2 linked regions of the Sus scrofa genome follow. Each later gene encodes a partner of the first gene's protein in a complex. Links are inferred from orthologs where the notes say so. Each region holds a gene or a part of one and is shown in the gene's direction. Other genes may lie near its edges.

Region 1 (3,648 bases):
TGTTTCAGGAGGCGAGCTATTTGATTATATCTGTAAAAATGGAAGGGTAAGCAGTTCTGATTTAATCCTATATATATTTTGTAACTTCCCTTATCCCTTACTAGCATCAAAAAATACCAGAAAGCAATTTTGTTAAGAGGTCTATTTAATAACCAGTTCCTTTATTCATATATTTGCCTAGAATCAGAGACTGTTTAGAGCTAGGAAGGATCTTAAATATTATCTCCGTACTACTTACACAGATATGGAATCTGAGACTGACAGTTTATATATTTGCTTAAGGTCACATAATTTATTGACGACAGAATTGGATTGAGATTCCAAAACTCATGATCTTCAGACTTAGCTTCTGGGGCACAAGGATAATTTTAATATATATCTAAAAGTAGGTATTTAGTCCTCACAAAATATGTTATTAAATACTTAAAGATCGAGGCCTTGCTAGTCAACCCTAGCCACATTTAAATTGCATTCATTTTTTGGTTTCAGAAATCTGGTGTACCTGGAATAGTCAGAACAGGTTCTGTGAAGGAGAAATTAGACTTAAAGAATTCAGAATTGGAAGGAACTTTAGAAGGCAGTTTTAACAGTATCTTAAGTTACAGATACCAAAACTGCACACTACCCCCCATCCATACTTTTTCTCAACTTGGGGTATGTAGTATGCAAAAACCTCTTTCCAGAAGAGCAGGTCGAGCATGGAGAAGCCAGTTTTTTTTCCCTCCCAATTTAGAGTTCTTATATCATTCATTCATTTGTTCTATATAGCACATCTGTTTACTTTCATCAAAATCATTAGCCAAGTTAATTTTAATTTTACCATTTTTTAACATGGTTCATTTCAATTTCAAGTGTTTTATCTGTCTTTTCAGTCCCCCTTCCTCCTCCAATCTCCCCAATGTTCTGCCCCAATGTTCTGCCTAGAGAAATGGGAACAGACATAAGTTGGATTGATATCTTGCTTTCTTATCATTTCTCTTCCTTTTTTCATGTCTTGATCATTTTGTTTTACGTTACGGATATTTCCCTCAATTTTGCCTCTTGCATATTAAAATTCCAGCTGTCATTTTTCTATTTCAAAGATCTCTTTCTTATTTTCTGAAATTGTCTTTCTCAAATTAGCCTATTTTTTTGTTCCATTGAGCAAATAAACTTATCTATATGAAGATGGCAATTAGTTTAAAAAAAAAAGTTTTCTTCTGTTCCCTACATTGCCTCTGTGCCTTCTGTGCTCCCTGCTCCCTGTTCTTCTGTTCATTTTATTGGTCTTTGTCTTTTGTACATGGCTCTTGCTCAGATGTCTGGTGATTCTGGGTTGTGGGCCCATATCTGAGAGTGAAATACTAAATGCAAAGCTCATGGTGGTAGAACTTATTGATTGGTGGGTCTTCCCATAAGTTGAATAGGTAGGGACCTGCCCATTTGATTAGAGAATGTCAATAATTACACATATTTTGGAATTTCCATTGTGGTGAAGTGGGTTAATAATCCAGCTTGTCTCGTGGCATTGCTGGTTCAATCCCCAGCCCAGCTCAATGGGTTAAGGAATATTAGCACTGCCACAGCTGTGGTGTAGGTCACAGATGCGACTGGGATTCAGTCCCTGGCCCTGGAATTTCCCCATGCCTTGGGTGCAGCCAAAAAAGGAGAAAATGTATAAATATTTAGCTGCTGTAGAAGAAACCTTCTAGTTTCCTTGTGGCTATTGGCTTAGCTGCCAGTGCCTCTGCGAGCTAAATGGGGAAAGGCTAGCAAGCCTCACTGGTTAGTATGTTGACTTTCAATGAATCCCCACAATTTCCTTCTTGTGCCTTGTTCCTACATTGGTGTCCTTAAGAACAGAGCTAGTTCAGCCTTACTAAGGAGTAAATCATGGGTCTTATTCCTCAGTAAGTATGAGCTTAAAATGTCTTTCTTCAACCAGTTGTCCTGTTGTCAGCTCACTTCTCATTTCTACCTTCAGCCCAACACCTTCAATATCTAAGCCCTTTCAGGGGTCTGTGTGCAGCTGAGCTTATCACTGATTTCCACCCCTAAAGGCTTAGGAGGTTCAGCTTCCTGTGGTTGGCCAGCACAGCACTGTTCATCTTCTGTCTAGCTTAGTGACTCCTCTTGATTAGTGCTGTCTCTTCTCTTGCTCTTTTGTCTTTATATGCTATCATTTTAGTGATGTTTCAAAAAGTGGAGACCAAAGGTTCCATCTGCCATGTTTAAATGGAAATATGCTTTGACTTTTCTAATCTTTCTTTGTAGACTTCCCTGCCTTGATCTCTGTCCCGTATTTATTATTAATATAGTATAATTTTGATTTTTATATTTTGTTTAATCAGATTTTCTTCTCTTTGACATTTAGAACAGATTTTTTTCCCATTTAGTATATTTGACATGAAGTTGTATTAAAAAATGAACCTAGAAATAAAGGCATTAGATTCCTCTGGAGGAAGGGTGTCTCTTAGTACTTTGATAATTTTACTTATACTTTCAAAAGAAATGACTGTTTTCATCTTCCAGATTTTCAACGCCATTTAATAGGTGTAAGAATCTGGTTTTATAATGCTAATTTGTGACCTGTGTTAGAGAATTGTATATTAGAGTCCTTTGCCCAGGGGATTAATAGCTCATTTATTAAATATAACTTCTTGGGAGCAGGCATATCCAAGTAATGGTTTTCACTTATGGAAAAAAAAATTAATAAAATAAGCAAATAAGGATAAATGGAAAGAGAAGTTTTTAAAGAGTATTTTAAAAAACGTAGTTATAGCATAAAGATATGATTTTTTCAGTAAACAAAGATAAATGTTGTATTTTGTAAAACAAATTAAAAAAGGTTTTTATTTCGTTAAAACATCTTTTATTTTAGGAGATATGATAACATGGTCATGCTTGCAAATTCATTAATAATGCTTAAATGTTGCTTTCTCATGTGGTCCAAAACAGTATTCCCCACCCCAGTATAAACTCTCTGTGCCCTTATCCTGCTTTATTTTTCTTCAAAACACTGTCACTCTTTATGTGTTTATTATCTATTTTCTGTAACTAGATTAGGGCCTTGGTTTTATTCATTGCTATATCATGATTGTCTAAAACAATGCATGGCCCATTGAAGGTATTCAATAAATAATGGTTAAAGGAATCAAGGATTAAATATTTGTAATTTATAGGAAAAAATGCTTAGTTTTAAGTAAAATATGAAATTATTTGAAATAGTGCATGAAATTTAGATGGAAGAAAGCTTTTAGAGTGTAGTCAGAAGAGTGGTAATATAAGAAAGCTGAGTTCCTGACTTGGGTTCTAAGTCCCTCCTAGCATTTCCGTTTGGTGCTGTCTTTATATTCTCCCCAATTCAAAAGTATCTTGTGAAGGTTTCTTGCATTTTCCCAGTTTTATTGGTTGGAGAATTATAGGTAGAATAACTTCTTTTAAAGACTCACCTTTAAGATATCTCTCTACTGTTCTTAGCTGGATGAAAAAGAAAGTCGACGTCTCTTCCAACAAATCCTTTCTGGTGTGGATTATTGTCACAGGCATATGGTGGTCCACAGAGATTTGAAACCTGAAAATGTCCTGCTTGATGCACACATGAATGCAAAAATAGCTGACTTCGGTAAGGAGATTTTTATAGTTTGATATATTCATTATGTTTAACAA
Region 2 (3,748 bases), on another chromosome or scaffold:
TGGGTTCCCCTGCCTCCCTTTCCTTCCCCTTTCTGCCCAAGCTTGTGCTGCAGTTGAACCTCTTCCTGGGGGTAGGGGTAGGTCCGGGGGTAGATGCGGCCCCAGACCCCTCTCTGGTAGGGAGCCGTGGGGATGAAGATGAAGCTTATATGCAGTTCTCTCCTAGGGGCTGTGGGCAAAGGGCATTTTGTAATTAATATTTTCAAGAATCAAATATCTGGAGTGTAGGGGTGGGCTTGGTGGCGGTGTGTGGGCAGGCCTGCTGGAGGGGGAGCACGGTCGCTGTTGTGATTTTAGGTTTGTTTTTGTTTTGTTTTTGAATTTGGGGGGTTGCGGATTGATGGGGGTAGGGAGATTTTTTTTTTTTTTTTAAGCTGCTTCCTCAACTGTTTCAAGCTGCAAATGTTTAAGAGGATAACATCCCACCCCCACCCCCACCCCCACCCCCACAGAAACCACTGTAATGAAATCAGACAGTGGGGAGACTGGGCTGCTGACCCCAAAGCCATTGGATGTTCCTTTTCCAAGAGCAAAAGGTCTAGGCTCCAGGGATGGGGAGATTTGGCTCCAGTGAGTCAGGCCCTGGTTGGGGCTTGGGCCCTGGGATTGGGAAAAGGGGATGGGGCAGACTTTGTAAGCGTATGCTAGGTATCCGATAGTCCTGTAGAATTTAGTGAAGAAACCTTATACAGTTTTTAATTTTTATATAAACTAACTCAGACCCAAGCTACAAGGTTGGAATTTTGGTTGTTGGTTTTTTTTTTTTTTTTTAAGTACCCCGCCTGTATAATTGCATCAGAATTCCCTCCCCCACCCCCACCCCCGTGTTTGTATTTTGGGTTGGTTTACACTTGCACATATTCAATTTTCAGTTTTTCCCCTTTACGGTCTTCTCCCCTCACCTCCAGGACCCTCCCCCTTTTTAAAAAATAAATCTCTGACAAGTGTGAATCCCGTGAAGACTTTATTTTGTGTTGTGTGTATCCTGTACAGCAAGGTTGGTCCTTCGTAACAACGGATGAAATGATTCCCTTTTTTAAAGCGCCCTCTCTCCCTCCACCCCCAGCGCCCCTGTCCTTGGCATGTTTTGTATCAGCGATCATTCTGAACTGTACATAATTTATGTTGCAAGAGGCAAAGGGCAAGTTTTGGATTTTGCTTCTTCCAAGTTTGTTTTTAAACGACAAATAAAAAAAAGAACATTTTAAATACAAGCGGCTCCGTCCCGTCACCCTCGCCGTCGGTGGGATCAGCGAGGTCCCAGTGTGGACCGGGGGAGGGCGGTTTCTGAGGCTAAGCAACGCCGGAAGGGTAAGCTCCCCGCCTTCCGCTCTTGACTTGCGTGTGTCCCGACGTAAGCGGAAGTGGCCTTGCGGTACCGGACGTGGGGCGGGGCCTTCTCCGCCCCCCGCCCCGGGCGAGCTTCCTAAAACGAACGAACTCAGCCGGCGTCTCGCAATGGAGACGGTGAGGAGCGCGGGAGGGCGGTGGGGGGGCGCTGTGGAGCCTAAGACCCCAGTAAGGGGACAGGGAAGCCGGCGCTGGTGCCCAGGAAAAGAGAAGCCCCGCGTCTGTCCTATTCCATGACCCTGCTGCTCCGCTTCTTCTCCTCTCCTAGGACTGGGCCGCGTCAGTGCCTGCCTTCCGTCCGCGGTACTGTTAGCCTGAGCGGGCAGTGACTCCCGGCTCCCTCCTTGGAACCCACACGCACCCTGGCGATCTCAGGTCTCCTTTCCTTTTAGCACCACAAGCCCTTGAGAGGTTTGCCTGAGAGAGAAGGGTTGTGATCCAGCTTTGCTGGGTGAGGCAGGAGGTTCAGAGGGTCCCTCGCTTGCAGGTAGCACCTGGTGCCCAGTTGTCTGAGTGAGATTCGTGGAATCCTTGGCAGGAGGGACGTCTGAAAGCCTTTTATACCGCCTTGAGGTGTCCAGCGACGTCACATCCCTTGATAAGACTGAAAAGTGGGGTTTCCCTGAAGGAGGGAATCTTTTCAGTGTTAGAGGCCACTGTGTCCCTGGAATAGTTTAGGTCATGCCCTGCTCTGCGATTCTAAGCAGATGTGTTGTCATAGCTCCTTCTTGGCAAGCAGGCATTAACGGATTGTGGCAGGCCCGTGTCATCCTCCCAGAGTTGCTGCAGGTTGCCTTCGACCTATTTGGACCCACCCTCACTCTCAGGACCCTTGGTCTAGCACTCTGGATGGAGCCTTTTCCATTCCCTTACCTCTCCGACAGTGCTTAACCATGTCTCTTCTGTCAGGCAGATATGCCCATCTTGGTTTGGATCATCTGCTACTGTAGTTGTGTGAGGGCTGCAGGTTCACTTTTCTTTGGATCAGTTACATGCCCAGGCTAATTTCCTTACTGTAACCCTTTTCTCCACCTGCAGAGGGGTCATGTCCCTTAGGTTATACAGAGGAAACAAAACCAAAGTGGTAAATTACGATTTGCAACTGGCCACTCAGGCAAGGGAGTTACAAATTAAGAGCATTTTGAGCAAGAATAAAAGATCTGATTCCACTAAATTTCAAATAACATTATTTTTTACTCGGAAATGTATTATGGTTTACAGAGCATTCTTGTATGGATTTTCTAATTTAGCCCTCATACTTTAGGTTCTTAGAATAGAAATTGTTTTAAGAAGAAGGAGAAAGAAAACCCCTGCTTTGAAAATGCTCAGCTTAACTGGAGTGGGAGTGAGGGCAAGCAGTGACAGCTGTTATTTCAGGTAGACTGTAATCAGTGCCATCATCAAGATGCAAACAAGGGGACTGTGGAAGCATAGGGAAGGGAGAAATTACTGTGAACCCAGGAGAGGGCATTGCAGGTTGAGAGAACAGTGTGAGCAAGGGCATAGAAACTGGGGTATGTAGAGATTAATTGGGGGTGAGCCAGTGGTTTGGTGTTGCTGGAGTTTTGGATTTTGGTCACAGTTGGAGAAAAGACTAAAAGTAGGCTGAGGTCAGGTTGAAGGTATTGCATACCATGTTAAGTTTGAATTTTGTTTTTGTTTTTATTTTGGCCACCCTGCAGCATTTGGAGTTCCTGGGCCAGGGATCAGATCTGAGCCACAGACCTGACTTAAACCACAGATGCAGCAATGCCAGACCTTAACTCACTGTAGGGGGCTGGGGATTGAACCTTCTTCCCGGTGCTTCCAAGATGCCACTGATCCCATTGTGCCACATCGGGAACTCCTGACTTTTGTTTTGTAACAAGGGGACCCACGGAAGGTTTATGAGCAAGGTAGTGAGTATGCTTTAGGCATGTCCCTAATGGCTTTCTGTAAATGGATGGGGCTACTTCAGAAAGTAGTGAGTTCTTAGTTGGTGGAGATGAGAGTCCCTTGCAAATCTGAGGTACTTGGGGAGAGAACTGGGTGCCAGCATGGAAGACAAATTAAGAGGAAATAGATTTAGGGCAAGGAGACCAGTTTAGAGAATGCTATAGAAATGGCATGTACGAGGCTAAGCTTAGGAGTTCCCTTGTGGCACAAGCAGGTTAAGGATCTGACATTGTCACTGCAGTGGCTCAGGTCACTGCTGTGGCACAGGTTTGATCCCTGGCCTGGGAACTTTCACATGTTTTGAAAGTGGCGGGGGGAAAAAAAGTGGGGGGGGGGCTAAGTTAAAGCTGTGAAAGTAGAAAGGAGAGAGATGGATTTGAGACATTTCTAACATAGCAGCTTACCTCATAGATGTTAAGGACAAGTTTAAGTTGACCCTGGTCTGTCATTCTAAGCAGACATG

The links.
Region 2: the proteins of PRKAA1 (region 1) and PRKAG1 are in contact, whole or in part, in a crystal structure (PDB 6C9H), measured with the Homo sapiens proteins. The link is inferred for Sus scrofa from reciprocal best matches to the Homo sapiens genes PRKAA1 and PRKAG1. Residues at the interface, in NP_006242.5 of Homo sapiens: Ser295, Ser296, Thr297, Met298, Ile299, Asp301, Glu302, Lys305, Arg342, Glu347, Ala348, Phe351, Tyr352, Leu353, Arg369, His371, Pro372, Glu373, Pro376, Phe377, Asn449, Val451, Thr452, Thr536, Pro537, Arg538, Gly540, Ser541, His542, Thr543; in NP_002724.1 of Homo sapiens: His36, Asp40, Leu41, Ile42, Pro43, Thr44, Ser45, Val50, Leu64, Val65, Gly68, Val69, Arg70, Trp75, Ser77, Lys78, Lys79, Gln80, Phe82, Pro158, Glu159, Ser160, Gly161, Asn162, Lys170, Arg171, Lys174, Phe175, Leu178, Phe179.

What each region holds. Positions count from the first base shown.
Region 1 is NC_010458.4:25,759,441-25,763,088, reverse strand, and holds part of PRKAA1 (5'-AMP-activated protein kinase catalytic subunit alpha-1), read left to right. Parts: coding exon 1-46; intron 47-3,459; coding exon 3,460-3,604; intron 3,605-3,648. UniProt on the Homo sapiens protein: Catalytic subunit of AMP-activated protein kinase (AMPK), an energy sensor protein kinase that plays a key role in regulating cellular energy metabolism.
Region 2 is NC_010447.5:15,047,290-15,051,037, reverse strand, and holds the start of PRKAG1 (5'-AMP-activated protein kinase subunit gamma-1), read left to right. Parts: upstream 1-1,418; 5' UTR 1,419-1,458; coding exon 1,459-1,467; intron 1,468-1,538; exon of another isoform or gene 1,539-1,725; intron 1,726-3,748. UniProt on the Homo sapiens protein: AMP/ATP-binding subunit of AMP-activated protein kinase (AMPK), an energy sensor protein kinase that plays a key role in regulating cellular energy metabolism.